Linked DNA regions of Oreochromis niloticus. The protein of the gene in region 2 purifies or fractionates together with the protein of the main gene of each other region. This does not show direct contact. Links are inferred from orthologs where the notes say so. Each region holds a gene or a part of one and is shown on either strand. Other genes may lie near its edges. The genes, in order: kpnb1, nup214, nup62l and nup88.

Region 1 (7,741 bases), on a different chromosome or scaffold from region 2:
AACATGAAGTCTGTGTCAGTTTGCTGGGCGGAGCATTTAACACAGACTTAGTGATCGGATCGCTCACTCTGCTTCCAGACATCCTGCCAGTCAGGTGAGGCACACCTGACCCCGTCGCTCTGCTTCAGGCTGAAGGACGGCGAGCTACAACTAACATCAGACCAGAGAAGAAAACAGGTGAAGATATTTTTGTACTAAAATACTTTTCCCCTCACACCTGATAGGATGCAGCGTGCTCCTGCTGCCAGAAGGTGGCAGTAGCACACGCAGACAGAGGCAAACAGCAAAGAACTGCCAACTACGTTTCTTCTGTCTGCAGGACGCCATCAGCGTCACGCCTCACGCAGGTGTCCAGGTGCTCTCAATCAGCTCCAACGAGAACATTTATTCTTCTCTGGACAGACAGCTTCCTGTTCCTCTGCAGTGAGCAGACGACCACAGCAGCACACTGTGTGTATGCAGATGTTCTTTAGCATGCAGAAACCACGATCCAGCTGAAACATCTGGATTTGAACTGAGTCAGTTTTAAATATTAGATCAGTGGTCTCTCGGGCCGCAATGGCGGCGTGTGGCAGGAGTTATGGACCTGGTCAGGTTACACTCTGCCGAGTTTACGGTTTTATTGTCAACACACTGTAAAGCGGAGGGGCGGGGCTTCATTTATAACTGCAAGATAAACGGTAACTGTTCTCACCTTTGTCTCTAACACCGAGGTCATGTGACTACAGAGTCTGATATTTATCTTCTTGACGCTACAAAAACTACAAAATAAAAACTACAGAAAGTCGTCTTTGATTTTATTGGTCCGACGATGACATCACCTCACGCAGCTGACGATCATTAGGAGTGTCTGTGCGTATAAACAGGAAGACACATTTCTTCAGGTGAACCTGCTGCTCAGGATGGCTCACCTGGTCTCCCAGTGACACGTGACAACAGCACCCACGTGGTCACAAACTACACCGCACACCGCCACGGCCCCATGGCGGCTTTACTGCAAACCCCACCGGCCCTACCCCAACTCCCCCACCATCTGCACCTTTTAGTTGGAGTTGTACATGCCAGTCACCACATCTGTAAGCACATTTAAACATTTCCCTGAGTAACAAGTAAACCACGTACCCACATCACCCTAACTCATCAAGCCCCGCCCTCACTACAGAATATCAGTCAAAACTAACCACACATTGAAGATGAGCGACCCGTGGAGACGGCCTCCAACCCTCACAGAGACCCTGGAACAGCTGTGACCCTCACACTGATGTTTCACAGAGAGCCACCTGCTCACACCTGCCGGTCACACCTGGTCACAGAAAGCTGCTGTCATGTGACCAGCAGAAACAGCCCGTTTACGGGGTGTTTACAGAGATATAGTCGCTGGACATACATATTTATACTTGCTACGAACCACTTCCTGTTCTGCTTGAAGTTAACATCTGTACTTAAATAGTATGTGAGGGCAAGGTCAAAGGTCAGGACCACAAAAAGGGTATGCAGAAGTGTGGGAGCATCACCTTCGCCCTCTGATGAAGACCTTGAAGTGGCTGAAGCATGCAGACCCTGGCACGGTCATATCAGGAGCCAACAGAGGCTTTCACTGTGACACATTTATGAACAGTGTGTGTGCGTGTGTTCGTGTGCGCCTGTGCAGAGGGAGGAAGGGGAGGAGGAAGGAGGAAAAGCCGGCGGGATCCAGCAGTCCTCGGCCCCAGTCCGCTCCTCTCCTGCAGCAGCCTGAGCTCCGACTGCTTCTCCCTCCATACTCACCAGGTTCTCTATGGCCGCCTGCTCCAGAAACTTCTGCGCCGCCTCCAGCTCATTCCGGTCTGCGGACAGAGAAGAGAGGAGGGGGCTGGTTAGCGGACGGGCTAACACACGGTGGTTAAACGTGTTCAGCAGACGTTCACACACAAGCACCTGGGCCCGGGGTCGATGTCCCGCACTAATGAGTCACCTCAGAGTCAGAAAGTTTAATTCCCACCCCGGTGAGAGCCCTCTGTGGTACCGAGAAGCACACCGACCCTGCAACATGCGCGCTAGCCACCTGCACTCTGCTAGCAGGCTAAAGCTAGCCGACACGTTTCCAGAGACGCGCATGAAGTTTTATGTGCAAACAGCGGAGCCGCTAAAACTTCGTCAACTCCGCTTAAAGCAGCGGAGCAGAGGTCACCTCACAACCAGAGCGCTCGCCTGTACCCGCGGCGACTCTAAAGCGGCGTTACCCGGGAGCACACACCGAGAAAGCGGTCGACAGTTTGAATGGCCCGAGCTAGCGAAGAAGCTAGCGGCTAACCCGGGCATGGGCAGGGTCGCGGCTTCTGATTGGGGACATACAGCCGGCATTACGGCCTATGTGGGCCCGAATCGACTTGATGACGATATGACAGCGTCTTCTGGTTTCCCGTCCACAGGCTAACGAGTTACCAATGCCAGTAAAGTGTGCTTAAACGCCCGGAAGAGTGCTAAGTCACCAGCGGCGTCAGGCCGTAACGCTAGCGGGTTAGCACAGTGAGCTAGCATGGTTTCCCTCCTCCCTGCTTCCAACTTTCCCCCGTGCTCCGGGGCAGCCCGCCGTCTCGCAAACACCGCACCCCCCGGCCCGGGGTTCGGCATCGGGTCCGGGTCGCCGGCTGTGTGCGGTGCGTGGTGCAGGGACTCACCCGGAGAGACGGTTTTTTCGAGAATCGTGATGAGCTCCATTCCTTCCCCCGGCTGCCTCTCTTCAGTCCGACACTTTCGGTTGCCGCGCAGCGCCCACAGTGGATTATATTTCTTCCACGGAGCTCGGTCGTTGTCAGGCACAGGACGGGTTGAGTTGGTGATACAGGTGGCGGAGGTTCCCCGGTGTTCGTTCGGCGTATTCTCACTCTGATGTTGCGGGAAATGTTGACAGCGTCGGCGCAGAGTCACGTCTCGTCTCTTCACCTCCGCCCGTTCGCATCCTGTGCTACAGGGAGGGAAAGGGCCGCGCGCTTCTCTCCCGCGGAGGGATATCACGCAGTGACGCCGAAAACGTGGTGCCTTTAGGGACCGCCGGACACCATATCATCCTGTCTCAGTACACTGAGATTTCATTTCATTTTTGTTTCACACATGGTGCAACAGTAATTCATTTCCTACACACAAACCTTCCTTTCAATTAAAATAACACTGCATCCATGCTTGAAAAGGAGCAGGAGCTGATGACTGAAAATATACATATCATACATCACTTTTAAACTACACAAATACATAATATCTCATTCTACACAGTTTATTTTTTATGTATTCATTCATTTGTTGAAAATATTTTCTTTTACATTGCAGTCGAACAGCTGTTAGTATTATAAATACCTTTCCATTAAATTAAATTGGTAGCTGGGATAGGCTCCAGCCTTCCTCCCACTAGAACCCATCCATCCATTCTTTTCCATTTATCCAGAGCGGGGTCGCAGGGGCAGCAGCCTAAACAGAGAGGCCGATACTTCCCTCTCCCCAGTTTATCCGGGGGAACACCAAGGCGTTCTCAGGTCAGCATATAATCTCTGCAGCGTGTCCTGGGTCTGCCCCGGGGCCTCCTCCCGATGGGAGGTGGATGGAGCCCAAAGCTGACAAAATGAGACGTTTGGAGGAAAAAGTACGCTGAGCGCAGTAATTGTGCTAAAGTTTGCTCAGCTGAAAACGTTTTCTTTCTTCAAAGATCCCTTTTGATGCTGTGGATTCCGAGCTACACAGAACGCAGCAGCAGCACGCACCTCTTGGCTTCTTTTCGGCGTACGGAGTCTCTCCTGCAAGTAACTAAGTACTTGTACTGGTACCTGTAGCTGCTCTGCGCTCCAGCTGCTGGTTTGTGCTGAAATCACGTGTCTGTGAGTGTGTCGTTGAACCTGCTGCAGGACAATGTCATGTTTTCTGTCCTCAGACTGACGTGAAACAGGAAGAAGACAAAGACACCAAACACACACAAAAACATAAACAATGACGTCACATGAAAGCGCTGTATAAAAGCAATTACAGGAAGTCAGCAGTTCTGTCAGCAGCTTCTCCTCAGGTCGTCAAAGCCTTTCGATCTTCAAGCTCCTCCTCCGTCCTCCTGCCTGTGGCCTCCATTAAAGGAGAGCTCACTTTATTTTCTGTTGCCTGGACTCCTCATCTCTGGTGGGAGGCCGAGCTGCGAGGAGGTGGTGAGGCCTGAACCAGAAAGTGATCGTTCAGGTCAATCATGCAGAGGGCAGCAAGAAGTGCTGCTGAAGGAAAGGACTTCCTGAAGGAGAGATCGGAATCTTGTTGTTAGTCGGTCCTGTCTCGAAGCCTCGAGCATCTCCATCATCATCTCCGAGTTCTGAAACCAGGCGCGATTAAAAGGTCTCAAGACACCGTCGTGATGGCTCAGAGCGACATGAATAAAACTGAACTGTGACAGCGCTCTGTGGCCCTGGTGGAAATATCACCTCACTGCATGGACACATCATCAGGCCGACCTGCAGCTGCCAGTGTAAGTTGGACTCGGACTGATGGGTGATGGACAGGTGTAGACATGGCTCTGGTGAGGAGGGCTCCTGGATTTGCAAGAACAGGCTGTTACAGATAACACCAGAGTCATACGTTCTTCCACGATGTTGGAGAACTCGAGCACGAGCCGGAAACCCAGAAAACCTCCTGTGTTCATCCCGGTCTGCTCCAGTCAGTGACAGGATATTTAGAATGTTCTGCTTTTAAATTTTATATATATGAGAGAGAGGGGTTGGGTGTCACTCCTCGACTTTGATTCAGAGGTTTTTACTAAAAGCAGCTGCAGACATTCATACTGACACATTTATGATTGTGTGTCTGACTCTGTGTTGATCTGTTTTAGGACTTTGAGGAAAGTGCTCCATAATTTGATTTTTTAAATATATAATTAGAGGAGAGAGGCCACAGCCAGGTGAGTGCAGGTGAAGTGACGCAGGAAAAGTCTGAATAAAACACGTCGAGCTGAATAAAGAGACACAGCTGAAAAACAAACCCATTGCTTCTTTATTAGTCATTTTACAGTAGTCACTCATACGTAGCTGCCTTGAGTTGGTCTTTTTGTGTCTATTTACCGTTTGTTCCAACATCTTCCTCTTTTTTTTTTAACATCAACACAATGGAAGAGTCATGGACAAAGTATAAAAAGAACCCAACAGAGGGAAAACAGGATAAAATGCCCCTTTTCACAACAAAAACTACATTTGGCAAAAGGTGAAGATGAAGATGATGATCCAGTGCATCTTTAAAAAAAAAAAAAAAAGGACATCAAACACCACATGATTCAGTTTTTACTAAGAGGAGAGCGCAGGTGTCCGACTCGAAAACAGTTTTCATTACTTAGCAATTATCGTCCAGTCACATTTGACCTCCTCATTTGTTGCTAGCTGAAGCGGCAGAGAGCATGCGAGGCGCCACCCCTACGAAAAAACAAAACAAAACAAAACAAGAAAAAAGAAAAAAAAAAAAAACCCCTCATCAAATAGAAAAAATAAAATATGTTTAAAAAAAAAAAATGACCCATTCATATGCTGACAGTTGATCTGGTGCGTTTATGGCACAACAAGGCGTCACAGGCGATTTGAAATTTACCCATAATACTTTTATTTCACAGCCGGTAGCAGCCCAAAGTCGACGCACTGCTGCAGGAAACACTGCGATACCTCGGCTGCAGCGCTGCAATATTCACTCATACCAACTAACAGAAGGTGCTGATGCTGCATTTTTTTCCTAAGAATTGAACACCGGCAACGGTTAACATATTTAAAACAAACAGCAGAAAATGACTAATAGCAGACAGTAAACAGTTACGATCATGTCCCCAGAAAGACGTGAACACTTTACTCTAAACCAAAAAGCTAACACCAATTAGCTTGAGAATGTAATCATTACAAAAAAAACAAACAAAAAAAACAAAAATATCAAACAAACAAAAACTAAACTTTTAGACCTGGTTAATCTTTTCCTCCACGTTTATTTTTCTGACCAAGTTCTGAATCAATGTTAGCTAAACCTCTGGGTATTTTAGCTCCTCTGAGCTAGCCTAAAGAATGTAGCCATTTTCCCGCTCATTTTCTTTTTTTAAACTTTAACAGTATCAGGTATTCTTACCCAGCCAACCCTAAACCTCTACAGCCTTTGCAGTTAACTTCAGCTAGTCTGATAAATCCAACCCTTTTCCTGCTTATTTTGGAATTTTCCTGACAAGTTTCAAAGCTAAAATTAAACAGAATTAGCTTGTTAGCTTATTGATAAATAAAAATCTCCCTAACAAAAAAAAAGTGTTTTGTTTTTTTTATTTTTTAGTTTATACTTTAATAATTTAGCTAGCTAAAACTAATTCTGTTATCTTTAGCTGTTATAAATTAACTTGACAAATTATTTCCTGCCCTCAGGTTTTAATATTCCTGTCCAGATTCTCATGTAAGTTCCAACATTATATTATTAGCTATTTTGCTCTATGCAATTTACTCAATTCTTTAGTTTTTATTTTTATCTTTAAAGAGCTAGTGTTAGCGTGTTAGCTGGCTAACAACAATAAATCCCTAAATTAAAAAGGGTCTTGTCGCTAATGTGGGTTAGCTAGAGGACGTTTTCACTAATTTGACGTTTTTTGTCCACTAGTTTTAATAGTCTGAGTGATATTTGAGCAGCGGAGGTAAAGCAGCACTGACTGCAGCTAACCAACTTGCCAGCTGGCTCAAGGCAATCCATTTACTCTAGTCTATCCTGAAAGTAAGTTTTAGTCATTAAAACCGCTGTGATTTGATCGGCCATTTGATGTGTCGCAGACGTGTACATCTTAAAATACAAACATCACAAAATAAAAAACATTTTGAACATCACCCTCCACCCACAGGAAACTCAGGCAGTTCACATACATCAAGAAAAATAAACCCAACAGTTACAGCTGAGCATCTGGACGTCATTTATGAAACATCTGTGCGACTTTATAATTGAAATTCCCTGCTTTTATCCATGGAAACATGAAAAAAAACAAAACAAAACTTTGCTCAAATACAACTGAATGCTTTTTCATAACTGACGCCCACAAGAAACGACCGAAGCCCATTTAAGCCAAGAAAACAAACGCTTCATGAATGAAACAACTTAAGACCCAAAGTCATCATCTTGATTTTCTCGGTCGCAACTACAGAGTGACTAAAATTAAGAAATAACCTGAGACGAGTCAAGAACACGACAAGAAACAAGATCAACTGATGGCAAATCATAAGAAAAACTAGGGATATGATAAAATAAGTCTATGCTAAATTAAGATTATTAAAACAAAAGCAAGATTATACACACACACACACACACACACACACACACACACACACACACAGGATTTATAAAACAAGTCCAGACGTGCTTCTGCAAACTCGATTTTGGACTGTTCATCCATGTTTTTCTTTTCCTGGCAGAAATAGGTTTCTTCAGCAAACAGATTCATATTTCTCAAAGTAATCTGAACGATGCAACGACAGGAAGCTGATCAAATGGAGTGTGAGCAGCCAGAAAACAGGAATGTCTCCAATCGGAGTGGATGGAAGCGCTGCTGTGGCACAAAATAAATAGAAAACAGAAAATCAAAGACAACAAATACTCCTGAGAAAACTGATGATTGATCAGAGGAAGCTGATCGAAGGTGATGGACACAAGTATAAAATCAAACAGGGATGATTGAGGCTCAGTTTCAAAAAGCGTGATCAGTCTGATCACGCACACGCTCAGAGGGAGGAAGAACACCTGA
Region 2 (7,819 bases):
ATCGTGATGATCAGTTTGCTGGATCATTCCAGCTCTGTTTCACTTCATGTGGGGATGATGTGAATATTTCTGAATAAAGATGACTGTGATCAAATGACTTGTAGATTTCCAGACTTAAAAGCAGCTCTAATGAATTCCTAACCATAATCTAAATGTATTTATGTTAAACATAAATACACAAATATATTTGTAAACAATGTTTAAAAACTGCTGTGCATTTATATTTTGAGTATAAATTGAACTGTTACAGTTTGAACCTTGGTTATCTTTTTCACACACTTCACGGATCAATAACTAATCTGCTAGATACATGTGTTTAACTCTGTTACTTGAATTGTTATCACTGTCATGTTGCTGATATATAAATACATTTTAAAATGTATGTGATAAAACTTAGAAACGCAAGCAAGGAAAATTCAAGTTTGGTAAAAGATGAAAATGTGGATAATGAATTTAACTCCTTTCTCCATAACTGAGCTGCAGTGATGATTTTTTCCCCCAGTACCCATAAATGGTCTTAACTGAGCTTCATACTCTGATCAGCAGTTCGACAGTAGAACCAGAGTCTTATAAACCTGATAAACCCAGATAAAAATCTATCTAAAAACCAATGCCTGGCATACTTACTGGGAGTGAGATCAACACTAGCTCAGGGGGGGTCTCAAGTGAGCCATCTCCAGCAGCATATGCTACTGCAAACACATAGGTTTTCAGCCACAGTACATCCACAGCTGTGAGAGACAAATAGGAAAGAGAGACAAGAAATTGGAACATCAACGAAACAGCAAGACTCAGCTCCTCCTTTTCCTATACAATTTGAAATATTTTATGGAATCATTGCAATCTATTACTAATCTATCACCACCAAGATAAAAACCTTAGTGTATGGACCATTTTCATAGTTTAAATTTATATACATAGGTATGGCTACCTTACCTTTTACAGGTTCGCCAGGGGTGAAGAACTGTGGACATGGGATAACTTTCTTTTCCTCCAGTCCCTTTAAAACAGAGGAGAAAAATCTGTTCCTGTAGCTTCCACAGGCTGTTAAGCAATTTGCTTTTAATTCAAAATTATTATAATAACTTACTGGTGTATATTGCGTGACTGTACCATCCATTTTTCCAGCTGCTACTTGCTTTCCCTTTGGACTCCAGCAAACTGTGGTAAACAAAGCAAGTAAACGACTACTGAGCCACATCACCGATATGGACTGCAGATAAATTTAGCAATTATGTCAAGAGTGTCACTCACTGCAGGTAATTCCACTTGAAGAAGGCAGCCTGGCCTGCACATTGACACTGTCAGTAACATCCAAAATCATTATACTGCCATCAGAGAGGCAGACAGCCAACACAGACACCTGCACAGGATTCCACTTCAGGTCCTGCACTAAGACGTCAGGTGCTACAGCTGGTTGGTGGAATGCAAATGGTAGCTTCTGTAGTTTTCCCTGGAAAAGCAAAGAATGCAAATTAAAACAAAAATCAGACAACATCATTACATTTAACAGACAAGGTGAAATTTGGCAGCAGCTGTTCGACTGTGTTAGCACATTAGGTAGACAGACTGAAATAACTACCTTGTTCATGAACGTGCGGACATCATAGAATGTGAGTGACAAGCCAGCTTCCTCAGACATGCCACACACGGACAGTGTGAGCTCATCACAACTGAGAGCCAAGTGGTGCAAAACTAGTTCCACGGTCACTTCAGCCAGTACTGGTATTCCTTTGACTAAAATACGGAAGAAGATGTTAGTGGACAGTGAAACAGCAAAAATTATTAATGACATAAAACATGTGGTGTATCAGTCATGACAACATTGTGTTTTTAACCTGTCATTATTGCACTATTTAAAACTGTAGTGGATTCATACCTATTTCGTTGGAGTTGCCATCACCTTTATCAGCAGCCAGAATATCTCGAGTTAAGTACACCTTGAAAGTTCTGTCAAGCCCCACAAAAGTTAAGCCATACTTATTTGAGATGGCAAGGAGGCTGGATCTGTCTTTTGGCAAATCTTCGGTGGGCTCAAACACTCTGACTTTCTTCATCTGACGAAACTGAAAATCCTAAAACGAAAGGCAAACACTTTCATTTCATGGTAAACTGTTATGAACTGTTAACAACTGTGGGTCCACTTAGGTAAATGCAAACGCAGCGTCTTTGAGACAGAATAATACAAACTGTAAATAAACATTGTTGACAAGCTAGCTGGTGAGCCTGAAGGGTGATCTCAAAGCCAAATGTTTGTAATGCCTCTCAATTAGCACAATGCTAACACGTTACAATATCGTGTTAGCTATCGGTGCAAGGCTTGTTGTAATATTACAGCAATACATAAAACTTAAACATAAAAAAAATGCAACGTGTGTTAGAACACGTTATTTTACAAATGCATAATTTAATAGGACGAATCCACCCAACACAGCGGCGTTTAACTTTACAAGCACAACATCACACCGGCTACGGTGCTAACCCTAAGTAGCGGGCTAAAAATATGGCATGAATGAAACTGCCGTAACTACTTTTAATTTAAATGCTTTTAAACCGCTGTGAAAGTCTCTAATGTTTTATCGTATCAAAGTAGTCATTACAGTTCAGTAAATATCGTGAGGCTAAGGATACCTAAACCAGAAAACATAACCCACGACAAGTGGCTTGTTTAGCTAGCTAGCTAGCTAAACTAGCCACTACATTGAGGATGAACTGACACGGTAACTTACACATGCTAACCTGTCAAGTCAACTTTAACAGAGACATACCTTCATTTCCCTCTCAGGAGGGGAGTCCGCATCGTCACTCATTGTGAAATTTTGAGGGTTTTTCTTCCAAAAGACCTGCTGTATTCGTTTATTTCTTGCTAGTATGTACCACAGAAAGTTTTGGTTAGCTACATCAGGACAACTAAACACACACCGCGCGATTTTTCCGTAGAAAAAACAAAAACCAGCTAGGATGACGAGTAGATACCAGAGCAGCTTGCGGGAACACGAGCTCATACAGTCGCGTATGTTCCAGAGTTGCAATTAAAGGTTGAGTGAAAGGCATGTGTGTGTGTGTGTGTGTGTGTGTGTATATATATATATATATATATATATATATATATATATATATATATATATATATATATATATATATAATTAAAGGTATATATTTTACCTTTTTAATAGTAAGTAAAAAAGTGCATAAAAGTTATGTTTGTGTGTAAGTTTGTATATACATATATGTACTGTATATGTGTGTGTGTGTGTGTGTGTATATATATGTATATATATACATATATGTATACATACATACCCACACGTGTGTGTATACGAAAACATAACTTTTATGCATTTTTTTTACTTACTGTTAAAAAGGTCACACTTTTTACAGTAATATAATAGCACTTTTTCCACCAACAAAGTGATTTCCATGAGCCATTAACCAAAACTTATAATAGTGTTGGCTAATAGTTAATCTACAATTCTACTGTTCGAAGCTTCAGCATAAATTATCTAAATGGACTGGTGGCTGTCAGGGAATGGAATAAAAGCCAGCTAAGCCAGCAAAGGAGAGCTCTGATTGTCCTTCAAGAATCCTGGAGAACGATCCTTGAAGACTAGTTCAAGAATTTACAAGAGTTCAGGCTGTATTCAAGGATAAAAGTAGTCATACCAAATACCGACTTTCAATCTTGTTAGAGTTGAACACATTCTTTCACCTCACATACCATATATTCATGCATGTTTCAATAAACTGCTGCATCTTCAGTATTTCTCATTTTCATAGCAAAATAAATTTTAAAAAAGATTGTAAGAATGAGTGGTAGCTTAATAAGAGCCCCCCCCAGTACATATAAATATTTATATATCATAAAGATGAAATGCTTAGGTTAAGATGGTTGATTTGGATCGATCCAGTGTTGCCTGCAATTCTAAACCTGTGCCTTTATGAAATAAAACTGGCTGTATACTGTATGTTACATTCATCTTTGAAGGGACTCCAGTGACTCATCCAGCAAAATTTAACACCATTTTAATGACACAAGCATTTCACAGCTCAGTGGCACAGACAGTGAGAATTATTATTGTCACTAATTTGTCTTCTTTCTGCTGGAATCTCATTACTTACATGTTTGAAGCCATGCAGAGCTACAATAAATTGCAACTTCCAGAGAAAAATATATTTCAAGTGCATCCTTTTGTAGGTACTTTGGCAAACGCAAAGAGAGACAAAAGACAGTATATGGTGAAGTAAGGACTTTTATTAGAAAGCAGATTTTTCTGTATTGCATTTAAAGAAATTGGGTACTCTTGGACTATACAACTTAAAACTGGTGATGGCAAATATGATGGGAATGAAAGGTAGATTACATCAAAAGTGGCAACTTGCATTTCTGTTGTATATATTATTGATGCTTGAGTCAGAAGGCGCATAAACATCTTTTTCATTTGAAACATAAAGCGGCATCAACACTGAAATTGTCCCATCCCAGTTTGCCTGATCCAAGCCCAGCTGATAGTGAAGAACATTACCATGATCGGTGTAGGGTTGTTGTCCATCAAAGGGCTCAGGACCACCTCCAGAACATGCTTACCAGAGCATGACAGATATGGTCCATGTCAACATGGGGACAGCTCTGTTTGCAAAGCACCAAAGTTTGACTCAGTCCTGGTTGTAAAGACACACACTTATAACCAAGAAGGCTGGAGATAACATCACCATGTCCCTCCACTCTGGAAAGGAAGCTAGCACAGACTGAAGCAAGCTGAAGAAAGACAAAGCAAACAGCAAGAGCACATAGCAAGTCATACCGTATCTCCCATAGTGCACTTTGGGTCTCGTCCTATTCTGATTGTCAGCGCTCTGAACACATGGCTTTAAAAGTTGCATTTACCCCTCATTTGCCTAACACCCAGTTGCTCTCAGTGTTTTTCCTTTCACCTTTCCAAGTAGTTCTAAAGTGCTGGCGTTATGTACAAGGACACGTAAATACACATACAAACCTTCAGTGCATTTTCTTCCGAGTGTGCTGAGCTGTGAACACACTGAACTGTGTACTTGGTCTCTGTATTCCACTCTTTGTCACTACTTTGCTGTCATTAATACAAGAAATTCAGCTTTATGCAAACATTCAGCGAAAGGCCAGGTTGTATAATAAAAAAATCCAGCCCTGCTCACCACAGGACACCTCAATCTTTGTTTACTAACAGTGACAAGAGTTATTCAGCATAAAATACATGGTGCATAAAGATCAGAGGTTTCATTGGGTTGCGGTGAGTGTGCGAATGGCATGCATTTTATGGTACAAGTGTCTCTTTGCATATAAATGTATTGTTTTTCATGATGAGCCAGTCACTGGAACAAAAAACTACAGTGTCCGTGTGGGGGTGAGCAGAGCCCGATGCAAAGTGAGGAAGAAGTTATTTGCAATAAAATACCCTCTATTCAATAACCATCCAAGAAAAACTAAAAGTTTGATATAAATGAGAAACACGTCAGATACATAACATACGTGTAACTGGACTTTTCTCTTTTGGCCACGTCAATCTTCCCAAGGGTTAACCATGATATTCTCCATTTATAGTGCAACATCGTTCATTTACCCTGCACAAGAAAAGGATCAAACCCCAAGTGCTGTTAAAGGATTATTTTTCTGCTTTGTTTTTTTTTTTTGATGGCTTTGTTTTGCAGCGGGGCAGAAAAGGTGAATGAGCTGGTCAAAACCGGCGCATGATAAGGAAACCGTGCGTAAAAAAAGAAAGAAAACCCCCCCGCCCCAAACAACAACAACAAAAGCCCGCCACACCTTAAATGTGATTAACTGATGAACAGGTTTGACTATACTTGACTATACTACGAATGAGATTTCATTTGAATTTCTTCCAAGGGTGTTCAACCAGATTCCTTAAGAGGTGTGCTGTAAATATGTAATACTGGGCTGGTGAGCCAACATGATGGAAAACATAAAGCAAGAATGTAAGGTGAATAAATGACTACATTATTAATATCATTTATTAGATTAAAAATTACTAGTTTGGAATTTTAAACTCGAAAATGGCCCAAAAAAAGTGTTATCTGGCTATATTTAGTAGATCCTTGGTCTTGTTTGCTTCTGAGCACAAAGTAATGGCACACATCCACACCCACACATTCACAGTCTAAGGCACTGCTCCACACCCCTTTAATACTACAGTGGAACATATCCATGTTTCCCACCCGTTATTATTTACTGCTTTATTTTAATTGCAGCTGATTTCATATTCCCCATGTATTTAGTATCTCTGCGAAAGTCCGCCTATTCAAAAAGATCAAAATCAAAGATTTATTTTACACAAAAACACACAGAGAGAAATATTAAATACAAAGCATATCACACTCATTGCCCAGTTTACCAACTGAGTAGAAAGGTTTCTCTCTCTTTTTTTCTGAAGCTATAACAGCTACTTTCTATATTTTCCAAAATAAAGGCTACACATATCCATTTCTCAAGTCTGTTACTCTGACTGGCATAACCAGAAGTGATCAGACATTTAAGTGGCTCAAATAGACAACTGAATATTGTTTTCTTTTTTTCCCTGCAAGAAAAACCTGTAAGAATAATAAACGAAAAATGATATGAAGGTACAATTTGCAAAATCTCTGTGTTAAAAAAAAAGATCAAATAAACAGAGGGAAAAAGTCTGCACTGCATGTGAACCTTGCTCAGTTTTGCACATAACGATGTTCACTACACTGGAAGACCTGTTCGTGGTTTGAAAAAAGAAAAAAAAAAAATCACTATATCAATAAAGCTTTAGGTTTAAACACCACCCAGCCTCACATTAATTTTATATTATGGCATATTTTGTAGAATTTACTATACTCAAATCAAAGCTTGGACCCTCACCACAGCAGTGCTACAGATTACATTCATCCATCATCCCAGCCATCGTGTCACAGTCTTGTTTTATCTACGGCAGATCGCATTTATTCCCAAAGAAAATAAACACTATAAACCTTTTTGTTACTACCTAGTGCAATTATAACCCTGTGTTTCTTGTGCAGGGCCATCTTAAAACTTCCCCTAACAGACCCTGAAACAAGAGCACAGACAGAGACTAGTCTGGCCCCGCTCATGAAGTGGCAAAGCATATATTTGGAGAATAGTATTAGTACTAAGCCTGTCAGTTCTTAACTTAACCTCTCACTCTCTGTAGCAGAAACCCACTTTCCCCAAAATGTTGGCGGCTTCTCTTTCACTTAAATGAATCTCTGTGCTTTCGTTTGCTGATAGGGAGAAAAAAAAGAGATAGGGAAGATCTATGCATGGCACAACGAAGAAAGGCTGTGTGGCAAAAAACAGATATCAAAAAGAAGAAATCAGGTATGACGAATGCAGGTTTAAAGTCCCTGTTGGACATTGCTTTGCTCCCCCCACCCCCTCTCCAAAACGTAGAAACAGTCATTGTCAGAGAGACTCGTTTCAGGTGTTGTCGTTACAGCCTCTCAATTAAAAAGGTCCACGTTACCTCCCTCAGCTTCTCGGCCCTTTACCTTCTTTTGAGTGCAAATGCAATAAGCCAGCATAAATTGCTCTTATAAGTTTGATTCAATAATTTACCCACCCACCCAAAGAAAAAAAGAACAAACAGTAAAACAAACAAACAGCCAGGTAGGAAGCAGGACTGCGTAGTATCGGTGCATATCACACCACCACCACTACATCATCGAGGTGGAACAGTGCTTCTCTCTAACATTCGTTCTTCTACCGCCCAGTGTAGTGCACTTCTTTACTACTCCATATATCCAGTCTCCTCTGCTCATGGGCACAGCACACTCTTTAGTTTTA
Region 3 (6,930 bases), on a different chromosome or scaffold from region 2:
CACCTTCCCTCCGAAGAGCAGAGCTACAGAAAAACACACAATATGAACAGTTTGAAGTATTAATACTTACTGATATTTGTCTCTGTAAGTTCAGGGTTTAATGTGAGACCTTTTGATTAGAGATAAAACAAAACTGAAGAGCAGTACCATCCTGAGGAGGCCTGAGCCGTAACAAGTTCTTTCAGTGTCACCATGTGCAGGAAATTCTAATAAAATCTTTGGTTGAAATTCCATCCACTCATCACTTATCTGGGTTCAGGTCACGGAGTCCACCCTAAGCAGACATGCCCAGACCTCCCTCTACCCATCCACCTCCTCCAATTTATCTGGGGGGACATTGAGGTGTTCCTAAGGCAGAAGAGAGCCATAATCTCTCCAGCATGTGCTAGGTCTCTTCCAGGGCCTTCCCCTGGTAGGATATACCTGAAACACCTCGTGCACTGATTAGGCATCCTGATCAGATGCCACTTGAACTGGCTCCTTTAGATGTGGAAAAGTGGCAACTCTACTCTGAGCCCCTTCTGAATAACTCAGTTGGGGCTATGTAGCCTGCAGGAGAGAGACTGGTGGTCAGGCCCACTCTCCCGTGGGTCCACCACCCGCAGGAGGGGCCGTAGAGGTTTGGTGCATTGTGGATTGTGGAACCCAGACCTTAACCTAAGAGACCTCAGAGAACCAATAGAGCAGCTGTTCAATTAAATATGAAAATAAAAGCATTAACACCCACAAACAAGCAGCAGCTGAAGGCGGCTGCGGTAAAGACATGATAGAGAATCTCAAGGGAGGAAACACGGTATTTAGTGATGTCCAAAATAAGCCATATTATATTTATTTATCTACAATGTTTTTATAGTGTAACTTTAGGCAAGTGAGCTTGTTTTGGTCTTTGCTGTCTGTAAACAATACACAAGTCATTTAATTTTCATGTAACTGCCAGAAAATGACACTGGGTGGGGTCAGTTGATTCCGGGTTTACTGTGGCAGCAGTTTTAAAATGATGCAGACAGCCTGAAACCTCAGATATCTTATCAGCACAGAAGTCTGGCTCCTGAACCCGAGGGCTTTCATTTCCAAACAAGTACAGCTCAGCAATCACATTACAAAAAATATAACATGTGCTCACTGTGCTGGTTGAGCAGCATCCTGATGGAAATCCTGCTCATGTAGAAGCGATCCAGAAAATACTGAACATTCTGGCTGACGATGGGATCTGTGCCGTACGCCTCCTTGTACTCCACAACGCCCTGAGCCATGGTGGGAATGACATCGTTGTGGCGATTTCTGATATTTATCACAGCATCTGTGAAACTAATTGAAGACATAAAAATTACAGCAATGCGTGAAAAGAATCTGCAGGAATAGATGAGCTGTTGCAGTGGTTAAAAGAGGAAACCTACTCATATGTGACTTTCTCGTCGTCTGCATTTTTGTCTTTGAACTCGAGAATCTCCTGAAGACTCTGCATGTACCTACACGGAGGAAAATGATCTTTTTGTATTTCACAGACTGGCAGGAGTTAAATACTGTTAATTCATTAAAATTAAGTGGAAAAAAAGGAGAACCTGCATACCAGCTCTGGACCAGTCGGACTGATGGGGTCCTCAATAAGTTATCTGGCAGCAAGTTAATCTCCTTCATGATGTTGGCTAGCCTCACAGGTAACTCCTGTCTGAGGAAGTTGAAGGATGTTTTCACACATGCATTTTCTGAACCTGAGAGAGAAACAAAAGGCTCAAATGCCACCTTACTACAGTAAAGGGATAAAGTGTAAAATAAAACAAGACAGCTGTTTCTCTGTGTGTAATATTAAGCCTCAAGTCAGCCTCATTTTTTAATATTTTGCTTGAAGAATGGGAAACAGGTAGAGCAAACATGTGCAAAGATACATAGAAATACAAATACACAAAGGCAAAAACAAGTTTGATAGTCCATACTTCAGCAACACAGCCTGAACTCTCTTTGTTATAGTTTTTCCCCATTTCTAAAGGACATGATAGTCTAAGGAGCTTGGAAAGAAAGCGAGTGGACTTCTGTAAGTTTCTTGAAGAAGTGGGTTTTGTCTTTTAATTTGGTCAAACCTCTTAAGGGAGAACTCCCACAAGGGATTAAATACTTGGGACTCTCGGGCATTTGGTTTTGGAACTGAAGAAGCCTCTCAGATGCGAGGTGAAACGTCTTCAAGACACTTATAGAAGTCCAGTCACTTTCTTTCCCAGCTCCTTAAACTACCATGAACAGGATGACTGAGAACCTACAAAGACATCTGCTGCAGATAGTTTTTATAGTTTTTTAGGCCTGGCACTTCTTTTTTGTTCCCTACTTGTCCAGTTTCCAGTTTAAACAAATGCAAAGATTACTATGAACCCTAATAAAGTCTGTCCTTAGAAGCATTACTCAAATAAATATACACTTTTGCACAATCCTGTAAATGTAACATGATAAAAGTTTTTCCATCATCAAGGCTGGATTACATATCAGATGCAAAACTACCCCCAAACCATTCAGGCTCCATAACCTCTTATAAACTGTAAACTTTCCATAGTTTCAGCAAACTGGACCATTTTCATCATGAAATAGAGAAAATCAACCAATCAAACAAGGGCCTAACCTTCATTCTTACATACAAGTGTTCAAACTTGACTTACACAAACAGGGCATATATTATATCCCATTAGTCATGTGTGAAGAGATACTTTAAAATCCCTTCCTGTTAAATACAAGGAAGTGTAATAAGGGGATGCTAGATGATTTTAAGAGTATCATTCGTCTTGTGAAATACATTCTTTTGGTATCAACTACCTTTACATGACAGAAGGAAAAGCTTGTGTTAGGACTGTTTGTATGGCAGTTATCCTCGGTTTAACTTTACATTAGTTTGTTTTTTCTATTTCCATATTAGTTAGTTTCCAGAATGTGTATGAATCATACACGTTGTATGAAGATTCTCCTTATTTTAGGTCAAAGTATCGTTAACGATGTTAGTAAAGCATTATGTTAGTAAATATCTACTAGTCTTGCAGCTTCTTACCAAAATCCAGAAACTGCTTCATTGATAGAGGGGAGGGTGAGAATTTGGAATAGTAGTCGATGTCCTTCCCTATGGACACGCTGCTCCTCAGAAACCTTAAAATCCTCATGCTTGCACGTTTTGTATTGCCTCACCTCCAGCTGTGACTGCTGCTTAATAAATAAATAAACAAACGGTACTCTTTTTTTAGGTTTAATCGCAGTTAGCATCCACAGCAACAGAGCCTAGCGAGGGCTGCAGCTTGGTTTGCTAATCTGTGTTGACACGAGCTTGTTAGCTAACCTCAACAGCCTGCCAACACACAAATAATTAATGATTTGCTTTTTCTTAATTTGGTGCCGTTTCAGCCTCCATTCTCACAGCTCCAGCACTGTTTTCCTAAATTGCCTTTAGCTTCTCGTGGTGGGATGCCTGGAAGAGGTAGAAAATTGTCACCATGGAAAGGAGAGTGTGCGGCCAGTAAGTTCAAAGAGTCACAGCGACGTCAAGATAAGCTACCTCTTCAAACAAACTTTATTGACCCAAATTTGGTGTAACGTTATTGGTAAACGTTACACAGCCAAACTTTTAACGTTGAAAGAAAATCGAGGAGTTTTTCAGAAGTTCCCGTAAAGTTTGTGAACTGGTTTCTTGTGGTTTTGAAGCAATTTTTTGAGTTAAGCTAACATAGGCGTGTGCAACTATATAGAAAAATATTCGTTTTGCTCTAGAAAAACGTTATAATAACGCGCCCTCTTGTTACTTAAAATTATTTGTATCTTAACTATATAAAACAATGTTCATTTTATGTAACTTTCGATTTTGATGGGAAGTGGGAAGCAGCTCGCACTGCGTACAAACGTAATACCTCTTGTTGTTAATTTGGTCTTTGATAACTTGAGCGTACTACTCTCCGACGTATGTCTGCCAGGTGACAAGCCAAACCAATCAAAGTTCGAGTTGTCTGAAATTATAATTCTAATTGGTCGTTAGACCTGCCAATATTACTAAGAAAGGCGGGTTATACTCCGCTAGACAAAATACAGGGCAAAGAAAAAGGTTATCTTTCACGCCAAACGCCGTCATTTCCTGTAGTTGACTACCGAACTGCCTACTTGAAAAAGTGTCGAGGCGGCTGGCCACGTTTTAAGAAGGATATGTTGCGATTTTTTTATCATTGTTACGATTAAAGTAACATTAAGAAGGGTGTAGTCAACTTTATTAGACCCCAACGTCTAGAAAGCCGTCGTAAAAGAGAAGCCGATTCTTCGGTAAGTTCCCCCTGGTGTGTGTGTGTGTTTGTGACCCGCCAAAAGCCAAATGATTCAGCGAGGAAGTAACCATTTTGTGCGTTAGTCGATTTTAATAATGTTATTGTTTTATCTTTAAGGAGAAAATGAGCGGTCCATTCACCTTTGGGCAGCCCTCTTCGGGCTTTACTTTCGGAACGCAGAAAACCACAGCCTCGGCCCCGGCCCCGGCCCCTACCACCGGCTTTGGACTGACAACGTCCACTCCTGCCACCGGAGGGGGCTTCACTTTCGGCTCACCCATCCAGACCCAGAGCACTACCAACCCCTCCGGTGGTTTCAGCTTTGGTACCCCAGCAAAGTCCACAACAGCCGGCGGGGGTTTCTCTTTTGGGGCACCCACCACAACGTTTGGAATGAATGCAGCTCCTCCAACCACAACAGCAGCTTCAGGGTTGACTTTAGGCTCGACGGCGACTCCAGCAGCAGGGTCGGGGTTCACTCTGGGTGCAAGTTTGTCTGCGCAGACCACCGCTACTGCACCTGCAGGAGGGGGCTTCACCTTTGGAGCTGCATCTCAGGCTCAAACCCAGCCTATAGCAACAGCCGCACCGGCGGCATCCACAGCCCCGAGTGGTCTCGCATTTGGAGGGTTCAGCTTCGGAGGTCCCAAGGTCCAGGTGACATCAGCGGCAGCCTCCACCACCACAACTAACACCAGCACCACAGGTGGAGGCTTCAGCTTCGGCACCAGTGCTCCCTCCAGCCTTGCCCAGCCAACCTCCACCGCTGCTGCTGCTGCTGCTGCTGCCGCCGCCGCCACAACAGGCCAGGGTGGAGGGTTTAGCTTTGGGATTAAACCGTCATCAACCCCAGCTCCTCCTGCATCCACCCAGGCCCCCCCATCTTTCGGGCCTTCTCTCTTCGCTCAGCCTATAACAACAGCTGCTGCCACAGCAGCAGGTCCTGGCTTCGCTTTCAATGCCGTTTCAGCTTCAGCAGCAAGCACATCCACAGCAACAACCACGGCTACTGGTGGAAGTTTGACTTTTATGATCAAACCTCTGGTTCCAGCAACCACCACATCTGCCCCCGCCTCTACCGCTACAGCTGCAGCCTCCACGACGGGTACTGTTACAGGCTTCTCGCTGGGACCCAAAACTGCATCGATCGCAAGCACCACGACAGCTGCTTCAGCCACAACCACAGCCAGCACCACCAGCACAGCTCCTCCAGTGATGACCTATGCCCAGCTAGAGGGGCTCATTAACAAGTGGAGTCTTGAGCTGGAGGACCAGGAGAGACATTTCTTACAGCAGGCCACTCAGGTGAATGCCTGGGACCGCATGCTGGTGGAGAACGGAGAGAAGATCACATCCCTCCACAAGGAGATGGAGAAGGTGAAGCTGGATCAGAGGAGGCTGAACCAGGAGCTGGACTTCATCCTGTCCCAACAGAAGGAGCTGGAGGATCTGCTCTGCCCCCTTGAGGAGTCTGTGAAAGAGCAAAGTGGAACCATCTACATGCAGAACGCCGACGAGGAGCGTGAAAGAACATACAAGCTCGCTGAGAACGTGGACGCACAGCTGAAGAGGATGTCGCAGGACCTGAAGGAGATCATCGAGCACCTGAACACGTCCAGCGGCCCGGCTGACACCAGTGATCCGGTAAGATGACGCCTCCAGTTTTTGATAATCGATAAGATTAACAAAGATTTGCTCACGTAATTCATGTCTAATTTCCTTTTTTCATCATCAGCTGCAGCAGATCTGTAAGATCCTCAACGCCCACATGGATTCACTTCAGTGGATCGATCAGAACTCTGTTCTGCTGCAGAGAAAGGTCGAGGAAGTGTCCAAACTTTGCGACACTCAGCGAAAGGAGCAGGAGAAAACCTTCCGATTAACATTCGACTGATCTGCACTAAATACTTTTACTTGTATGCTTACATTTTTACTCTGTAATCAGAGGTGTCATCAGGGCTTTAGATGGTGTAGATCCAACCCTCATTACTGTTATTTTGAGTTTTCTTGGTTGCATAAAGATTGATATTTTCAGTGCATTTGCCTTTAGAGCAGTGAAAATGATCCTCTCTTTCTATGTCAATTGTTATGTTTGTTCTAAAAAGTCTGATTAAATAAACCTTTGGAATGGAAGTCGTTTTTGTTTTGTTTCTTTTAATTATCAGGCATTAAATACATTCTTTTATATGTCAGAGGGAATGCTTTGTTCACACATACGATGCCCCTGTAATAGCTGAATTACAGCTAAGCATATGTATTTTGAAAAGAGAGGTGTGGATGGAATTGATTTGTTGTATTTACAGCTTTAAGGTTGTACAGTAAACAAAAAACAAACTGTTGATGGACAAGTAAGGCAAACATGAACTTCTACCACGCTGCAGGCCCCTCTGGTGCAGACAAGCCATATCTCTTATTACAAAAGATAACTGTTTTTTAAAGGTTGTCAACATGGCACATTGAACAGGCCACATAATACTTCGACTGAAACGGATGCAGGATTTGTTGCTCTTTAGTTTTTTAGAGTGGCAGCTGAAAATTTTTACATCAGTAATAATTTCCTGCAGGAACCTTTTGGAGATACTCAAAGCGCTTCCATCACAAGGATCAGGGTCTAACTTAAGTTTCTGGGACTTCAATAAAGTGCTATTTC
Region 4 (7,610 bases), on a different chromosome or scaffold from region 2:
GAGAAAAGTTAGACATGTATAAAGAACACAACACTAAAATGCCAAGTCATGCAAAAAGTTTGTTTTATGAATCATTTATTGTAGATCAATGTGTTTACAAAATGTCTAGTGAGGAAGAGTCGAACACAAACTTCAGTGGCAATTTTAGATACAAGGCAAGGGCAATACATTTATTTTAGTTCTACCCAGGAGAAAACTTTGTATACAAAAAGAATTTGAAGTTCAGGAAAAAAAAAATGGTGAGATTGTTGACAATTGTTTGACACTGAATACCAAAATGAGGGTGATGACTTTAAACTTTCTTACAGTTGAAAAAGAAGAGACCCAGTGTTTTAAAAAATATCTGGGAATGACTAAAGAAAACTAAAGTTTAATGGTGGACAGATGGTATTTTGAATAAAAGAACCAGCTTTAAACACTCAGACCCTCACATGTCTGCAATATAGATATTTATATAGCAACTGCTAATTAGACCAAAGGTGATATTTTCAGTGGGTTTTTTGTATTAAAATAAAAACCAATCTGTCAGACTTCCAGGTAGATTTGGGAAAACAGGAATAATGGATGCCAGTTGATTTGTGAGGCATAGGAAACAAATAAACCATTCTGGCAATAAAGGAAGTCATATCCCTTAGTGAAACTGTGTTTGAGCTGACTGGATGTATACTGGACCAGTGGCGTGTTTGTCTGAGTGCATCTGTACATGGTTGAGTGTGTTCCTGGGGGCGGATTACACAATCATTTCCAGCTGTCGTGCGTATTCGATGACCTGTTGTGCCAGCTCAGTAGAAGGGATGTTCACCTCTTCTGTCCGCTGTTGCTGATTGGTGAAAGAGTAATAGCCATCTGCACTCAAATTCCATCCTCTCTGAAATGGGGAAAAATGTATTCATTTAAACAAATAAAAATAAAACGAAAATCAACAGTTACAGATTGCTCATGTAGTTATTTGACTTATTATAATTTAATTATAGACAACTTGTTAAGGAACATCTGAAAACAAACAGTAAAATTTATCTTTTCCATCTGATGTTAATCTTTATGGATATTACTTATTTTTCAGGTTCTGCCTATGCACAAGTTTTATCTAACATCTGGAGGGACATTTTCTGTATCTTAACAAGCCAGTTTCTGACAACCCCCCTCCCCATATCCAATCATAATGACATCTACAACATAACACGTTAAATAAAAACTAACTTAGACTTTACATAAATATTTCAGGCACCAAGGCCACCTGACAGCCAGTGTTTACCTAATAAATCTTAATAAGCATTTGCATAAGCAACAGAGTTAAGCAGAAACTTAATTTCTTTAAATCATGTTATCACAGCAGGAATCTAATGTCTCCTCCTCATAATCTCTGGATTCGACTACAGGTTTGACTCCCAAATAAAAACAGACTTACCTTCTTGGCATACTCTGTCATCTTTTTAGGGGAACTGAAGAAAAGCACACGGGTAGCTTCACTGAACTGGATCTGCTCATACGCCTTCTCTATGCAACCTGCAATCTCATCGCTGCAATTGAAAAGGTCAGCTTTAGTTAAAGTCATCTTCAAAGGACAGAGTTGTATTTTTAATGACGTTTTATACATTTCTAGATTATTATGCCACAACACCGTGAAATAAAGTTGTTTTTTTTCCAGAGTTCACAGTACAAATTAAGAAACATAAAAAATTAGACAAAGACAGGAAAGATGTTGTTTAAGAAGTTGTTTAAACTGCCATCTATTTCACATTTGCTCAGGTTAAAGTATTGGTACAACTATGAGAGTAAAATAAATCATTGTGTTTGTTGTGTTGAGTTGTCTTTACACTATTCGCTGTAACTATGTAAAATAGGTGTGCAAAAACTATTTTTAATCTAACTGTTGTTATGTGGTTGTAGGCTACTGATAAATATTTTAAAATTTACAGCGAATGCAGAATGTGTTAAAGGCATTGTAATCATTACGGTCCTTACCGAATTGTGTCCAGAAGAATATCTATAAAAAAAGGTGTAGCTCTCAGCAGGGATGTTGCCTTTGGCTAGGAACACTTTGTTGTAGCTTCCCTCCATCAAGTACTGAAATTAGCAGAGAGAGAATAAAATATTAAGATTGCATTTACATCAAAGTTACTATAACAGGACTTAAATTATTGTGTATAAGTAAAACTCCAATAAGCCAAGCATTTGTCCAAATAAATATTTAGTTTGTGTAAATTAATATATATACACCTTCAAATACACAATGGGTATAAAATATCAGAGCACACATTGATCTATCTCAGGCCAAAAGCAATCTATTAAATCTTAGTGAAGCATATAAAGGAATTACTGCAAATAGCAGTCAAACATAACCCTCTGGTGCAACATCTACTGTAGGATCAAAACTATTTTACAAATGTAGCTTCAATAATTTCAAGTCAACACTAATGCTAGCCTGACACTAATGATATTAGTGCTTCATCCCAGCTGACTGGTAAAAAAAAAAAAAAAAAAAAAAAAAGTCATCTGGAACCTTATATCACTAATTTTGAGCAATTTAAGGGTACAAATTTCCAATTGGACACACAAATTGTTTTTTTTTCTTTAACACCTGATATTGCACAATAAAAATCATCCAAATCAAAATCAGGCATTGTCCATGAGTAAGCTATAGCACCTGCTCTAGAGACACTGGGTGTCTGATGTACACGTTGGTCTGAATATCTCTAGCACTCAATCTTTCGAGTTCTGTGTGAAACTCAGAGACGCGATTCTGCGAAAGCAGGAAGAGCAGGTTCAGTCCAAGTAACTGATGCATGTAGGCAGCTTCAGGCAGCTCTTCTCTAGAAAAGAAAAAAGAAAAAGATGTAAATAATTGCTTCAGTTACAAAAAGACCTCAATCTTGGGCAACAAATTCTTTAAGAGAAAGTGGCATTTACTTGTAATCAAAGTAGTAACATTTTAGCTGGGCCATGTATCGCTCAAAGGATGGGATGTCCTTCTTGAGGATGCTCCATAAGGCTCCGATTTCAAGGACATCACCTAAAATACAAGCATAAATTGTACTTAGAAATTATTTTGCAAGTAACTTAAAAAGCTGTTGTGTTAACTTGTGGCAGCTTGATTTGCAGGTACTCACGAGCTAAAATGAGCTGCTGCTTGGTGAGCGAGGATCCACTGGTAGGTAAAAAGTTCAGATCCAATAATGAAATCTGTTTAAAAAAAAAAAAAAGATAAATGTAACAATGTAAATCTAAATTACATTACATATTATTTGTAACAGAAGCAAACCCCAAAGTTGGTTTTCATTGAGTTCTAACAACCTACATAACCTTATAAAACGTTTATTTTGATGTCAGACTCCTGTTGAAACTTTTTTCCTTTGTTTCTCAATCAAACTCTGTTTTTAAAAATTAACATTTACATATACAAAGCATCTCAAAGCCAGGGTTATCTCACAAGAAATAAGGAAGAAACAAGGAAGAACACAAGATAAATATACAGAGGAAAAAGCAGAGTTACTTGTACACATTAACAATCTAATTTATCAAAGTTATATTTTATTGTAACCGTTTTTTTTCCTTTTCAAGATCCTTAACGCTAGTGCTGTGTTGTAATAGTTCCTAATTAAAAAAATGAATAAATCAAAGCTTGACTTGGAGATGGTCCATCTTGTTTTGTTTTGTGAATGTGAAATTTCCCCAACATCATCATTAAAACCCACCAGAAGGCAGTTGTCCAGTAGGATGTCCTTAGTAAACGAGGACAGCAAACTGGTGACATAATGAACCAAACCAAAGATATCAAGAACCTTTTTTGTTTTTAAGCATTGAAGAGAATGCTAGTTGTGTATAGTTAGGGGGAACATTTCAGATTCCCCTTGGAATGCACTTGGTTATTACATTTGTATTTTTTGTCATTTAACAAGAAGCTGCAATGAGCTCTTTATCTCCAAGTGGCTGTACCATACGTGGAATTGATTGAATTGAATAGGTGTATTTTATATATGGGCTAATATAACTTTCATAACAGTTGCTTCTTAATAGAAATATAATAGATTTGACTGACTTTGCCTTGCAAAACTGTTTGTATATACGAACAATTTTTGAATACGAAAAACATCTTTGCTGATGTCCTTATCACGGGTCACTTTTTTTTTTTAAAGGTTCTAATCAATTTATTGGGGCACCTCTTTTTAGTGATACCTGCTTCAACTCGGCTTAAACTTACCAAACAGAAAGCTGAGCTAACGAAAGGTACAGTGACGTTAGCTTTCATTGACTAAGTTAATCATTTGTTTCATCATTATCCTAAAATGATGATATTGTTCGATCCCTCTCCAAACATTTGTTTGTAGTTAGCAAGTGAAAACTCTACACTATTCTACCAAAATTAATTTAATTATCGATGTTTATCCAGTTGCTCACGTTAACGTACAGCGTTAGCTGGGCTAGCGTAAGTTAGCAATCTGTTTGCTAACAGTGCTAACGTTTACAAATAGAAAGACTTCCTTCCTACAATCAACCCTGGACAAGCAAATGTGCGACTTTACCTTAAGCTTACTCAGAAGGTCTCCACATTTGTTTAGGTTTGGATTTTTCTTGTTCCATTCCGTTTTAAGTGTCTCATACAGCCCAGCGGTCTCTTTCAGCGCCATGGTGATTCTGCAAAATATACGACACCGGCCACCGTAACACGTTAAATGACTGTCGTGAAAAAAACTAAAACACGTTACTGCTTCCTTCAGAAATCAGACAGTTGATCAAGATGGCGGCACTCAATTCAGAACAGTGGCTGAATGACTTACCGAACCACACGATATTCAAAATAATACGCGAGAAGTTGGATTTGGAGCGCACCTCGAGTGAAAGAGGGATCGCTAAGAACCTCACGTTTTGTTTGGGAGCGGATTTTTTCGTGTGGGACGATTCAGACCGCGTGTTTTACACAACCAACCTGCGGCAGTTAAACACAGAGGAGAGCTCCAGTAGCGGGAAGTATCAGACCTTGCTGTGCATCAACCCGCCGCTCTTTGAAGTGTGCCAGGTGCTGGTGAGCCCGACACAGCACCATGTCGCGCTGGTCGGTCAACGAGGCGTCTCGGTCCTGGAGCTTCCACTGCGGTGGGGCAAGAGGTCCGAGTTTGAAGGCGGACGCAGCAAAATCAACTGCAAGACAATCCCTGTGGCGGAGCGCTTCTTCACCAGCTCACCGTCGGTCAGTCTGCGACAGGCGGCTTGGTACCCTAGCGAGACTGACGAGCCACATATGGTGCTGCTCACTTCAGACAACACGATCAGATTTTACGGCTTGAAGTCTCCGCAGACATCGGCCAAAATCCTGCCAGTGTCGCAGTCAGAAGATGAGAGCAGCCTCCACCCTCCGGTGCGTTCGTACGCAGCTTCTCTGGGAGAGATAGCAGTGGCGTTTGACTTTGGGCCGATTTCATCCCCTCCTCGGCAGCTGCCAGGACAGGTCTCCAAAGACCAGCTGGTCTACCCTCTCTATATTCTTTACGAAAATGGGGAGACCTATGTGAGCTACACGAGCCAGGTAAACGGTATAAGTCTAAGTAAACCCGTTGGACCTCTCCCCATGTATCCAGCAGCAGAGGATAACTATGGCTATGATGCTTGTGCCATTCTGTGCCTGCCATGTGTTCCGAGTATCTTGGTCATCGCCACAGAAACGGGCACACTGTATCACTGTGTTGTGCTGGAGTCTGAAGAAGAGGACGACACGGGGGCAGTGGAAAAGTGGATCCGAGGCACAGAGACAGTGCCAGCTCTTTATGTGTTTGAGTGTGTTGAGCTAGAGCTCATACTTAAAGTGGCAACGGGAGAGGACGAGGAGCCGCAAGAGTTTGATTTCACCTGTCCAATCAAACTGCACAGAGACCCCCTCTGTCAGCATCGGTATCATTGCACCCATGAAGCAGGAGTGCACAGCGTGGGGCTAATCTGGGTCAACAAGCTGCAGAGGTTCCTTAAATCAGATGAGGAGGATAAGGACAGTCTCCAGGAGCTGGCTGCTGAGAAGCGCTGCATCGTAGAGCACATTCTTTGCACCAGACCGCTCCTGACCAGTCAGTCGGCTCCAATTCGTGGTTTTTTGATTGTGTCGGACCTCGCCTTGGGCGCCACCATGATCTGCATCACCAGCACTTACGAGTGCATTCTGTTACCCCTTCTGAGCTCCATTCGCCCTCCCTCCCCTCCCCTGCTTTGCTCCCACCCAGGTCTGGGCTCTGCCAGCTCCCCTCTGCGTGGGCTGGCCGAAGACTCCTTTGAGCAGCACATTCGCAACATCCTGGCACGGAGCTCCACCAATCCTCTTGTACTTAAAGCTGGAGACAAGGACACATCACCACCACCTCCAGAGTGTCTGGAGCTCCTCAGCAGAGCCACACAGGTGTTCCGTGAGGAGTACATTCTCAAGCAGGACATGGCTCGTGAAGAGATGCAGAGGAGGGTGAAACTCCTGACAGGCCAGAAGAACAAGCAGCTGGAGGAGTTGTCTCTCTGCAGGGAGGAGAGGAAGAGTTTGAGAGAAGCAGCAGAAAGATTGGCTGATAAATACGAAGATGCAAAGTATCGCCAAGAAACCATTATGAACAGGGTTAAGAAAGTGTTGTGTAGCCTGCAAAGCCAGCTACCCATACTGTCAAACAGTGAAAAAGAAATGAAGAAGGAGCTGCAGACCATCAATGATCAACTGAAACACCTGGACAACTGCATCAGACAGGTGAACATGAAGATGGAGTACCAGAAGACACAAGTGGACAAGGATATGCCCGGAACTAGGGCAAGAGTCTCTCTCAACGCTCCCCAGAAGAAGGTTGTTCAGGATGTCCTCAAAGAACAAGGACAGCAAATTGGTGACATGATGAAGCAGATCAAAGACATCAAAAATCATTTTAGTTTCTAAGCACTGCAGAAAAATGCTAGTTTTTTTCTGTATAGTTGGGAAAATATTTCAAATTTTCCATGGAATACACTCAGTTATTACATTTGCATTTTTTTTCTGACATTTGTTAAGAAACTGTAATGAGTTCTTGAGCTCTAAGTGGTTGTGCTATGTTCTTATATGCTATATCTTATATGCGCTAGTGTAACTTAACCTTTCATACCAAATGTTGTTCCTTAATACAGAATACAGAAATACAAAAGGTTGGATTTTCTCTTACAAAAAATTGTATATTTTTACATCAATATTTTTTACATGTTAATGATTGAGTCACTAACATACTCAGTTTAATGTCCCATGTATAGGCAGGAAAAATTAAAAATAATTTGTGCTAAACTAACCTTATACAGCTGTTCAATTTTGTTTGCTCACTTTTTTGCATAAAAAAATAAACTTGAAATTATTCAACTTGTTTGTGTCTCAATGTAGGATGGCTACAAAAAGCAGAAATATTAAGAGACAAATCCAAGTTAACAGTTTTATATTGAGGTGTATTAACTGACATGTTCACAGCTGCTGGTTGCTGTATTTGCCAGAGTACTTGGAGAAACCCCGTGTAAACAGGGGGAAGATGCAAACACCACTCAGAATATCCCAGTTAATAATTTAACTGCGAAAAAAACAAACAAATGTGAACCGAGCTAAATAATCCACGTCCTGGTAAGATGTTTGA

What was found.
Region 1: the proteins of nup214 (region 2) and kpnb1 purify together in Homo sapiens (affinity purification with mass spectrometry; 3 studies listed by BioGRID and IntAct, with this or other methods). This does not show direct contact. The link is inferred for Oreochromis niloticus from reciprocal best matches to the Homo sapiens genes NUP214 and KPNB1.
Region 3: the proteins of nup214 (region 2) and nup62l purify together in Homo sapiens (affinity purification with mass spectrometry; 5 studies listed by BioGRID and IntAct, with this or other methods). This does not show direct contact. The link is inferred for Oreochromis niloticus from reciprocal best matches to the Homo sapiens genes NUP214 and NUP62.
Region 4: the proteins of nup214 (region 2) and nup88 purify together in Homo sapiens (affinity purification with mass spectrometry; 6 studies listed by BioGRID and IntAct, counting the BioPlex papers as one, with this or other methods). This does not show direct contact. The link is inferred for Oreochromis niloticus from reciprocal best matches to the Homo sapiens genes NUP214 and NUP88.

Annotation. Positions count from the first base shown.
Region 1 is NC_031969.2:34,683,148-34,690,888, reverse strand, and holds the start of kpnb1 (importin subunit beta-1), read right to left. Parts: upstream 3,009-7,741; 5' UTR 2,701-3,008; coding exon 2,661-2,700; intron 1,827-2,660; coding exon 1,768-1,826; intron 1-1,767.
Region 2 is NC_031972.2:19,143,036-19,150,854, forward strand, and holds the start of nup214 (nuclear pore complex protein Nup214), read right to left. Parts: upstream 3,003-7,819; 5' UTR 2,811-3,002; coding exon 2,769-2,810; intron 2,076-2,768; coding exon 1,880-2,075; intron 1,738-1,879; coding exon 1,583-1,737; intron 1,454-1,582; coding exon 1,255-1,453; intron 1,162-1,254; coding exon 1,091-1,161; intron 1,001-1,090; coding exon 937-1,000; intron 732-936; coding exon 628-731; intron 1-627. UniProt on the Homo sapiens protein: Part of the nuclear pore complex. Has a critical role in nucleocytoplasmic transport.
Region 3 is NC_031987.2:16,402,530-16,409,459, reverse strand, and holds nup62l (nucleoporin 62 like), read left to right. Parts: upstream 1-4,097; 5' UTR 4,098-4,278; intron 4,279-4,397; 5' UTR 4,398-4,403; coding exon 4,404-5,924; intron 5,925-6,015; coding exon 6,016-6,174; 3' UTR 6,175-6,413; downstream 6,414-6,930. Other genes in the region: pdk1 (pyruvate dehydrogenase (acetyl-transferring) kinase isozyme 1, mitochondrial), read right to left, coding at 1-23, 1,124-1,308, 1,398-1,469, 1,571-1,712, 3,029-3,137. UniProt on the Homo sapiens protein: Essential component of the nuclear pore complex. The N-terminal is probably involved in nucleocytoplasmic transport.
Region 4 is NC_031979.2:33,379,431-33,387,040, forward strand, and holds nup88 (nucleoporin 88), read left to right. Parts: upstream 1-4,628; 5' UTR 4,629-4,738; coding exon 4,739-6,898; 3' UTR 6,899-7,345; downstream 7,346-7,610. UniProt on the Homo sapiens protein: Component of nuclear pore complex.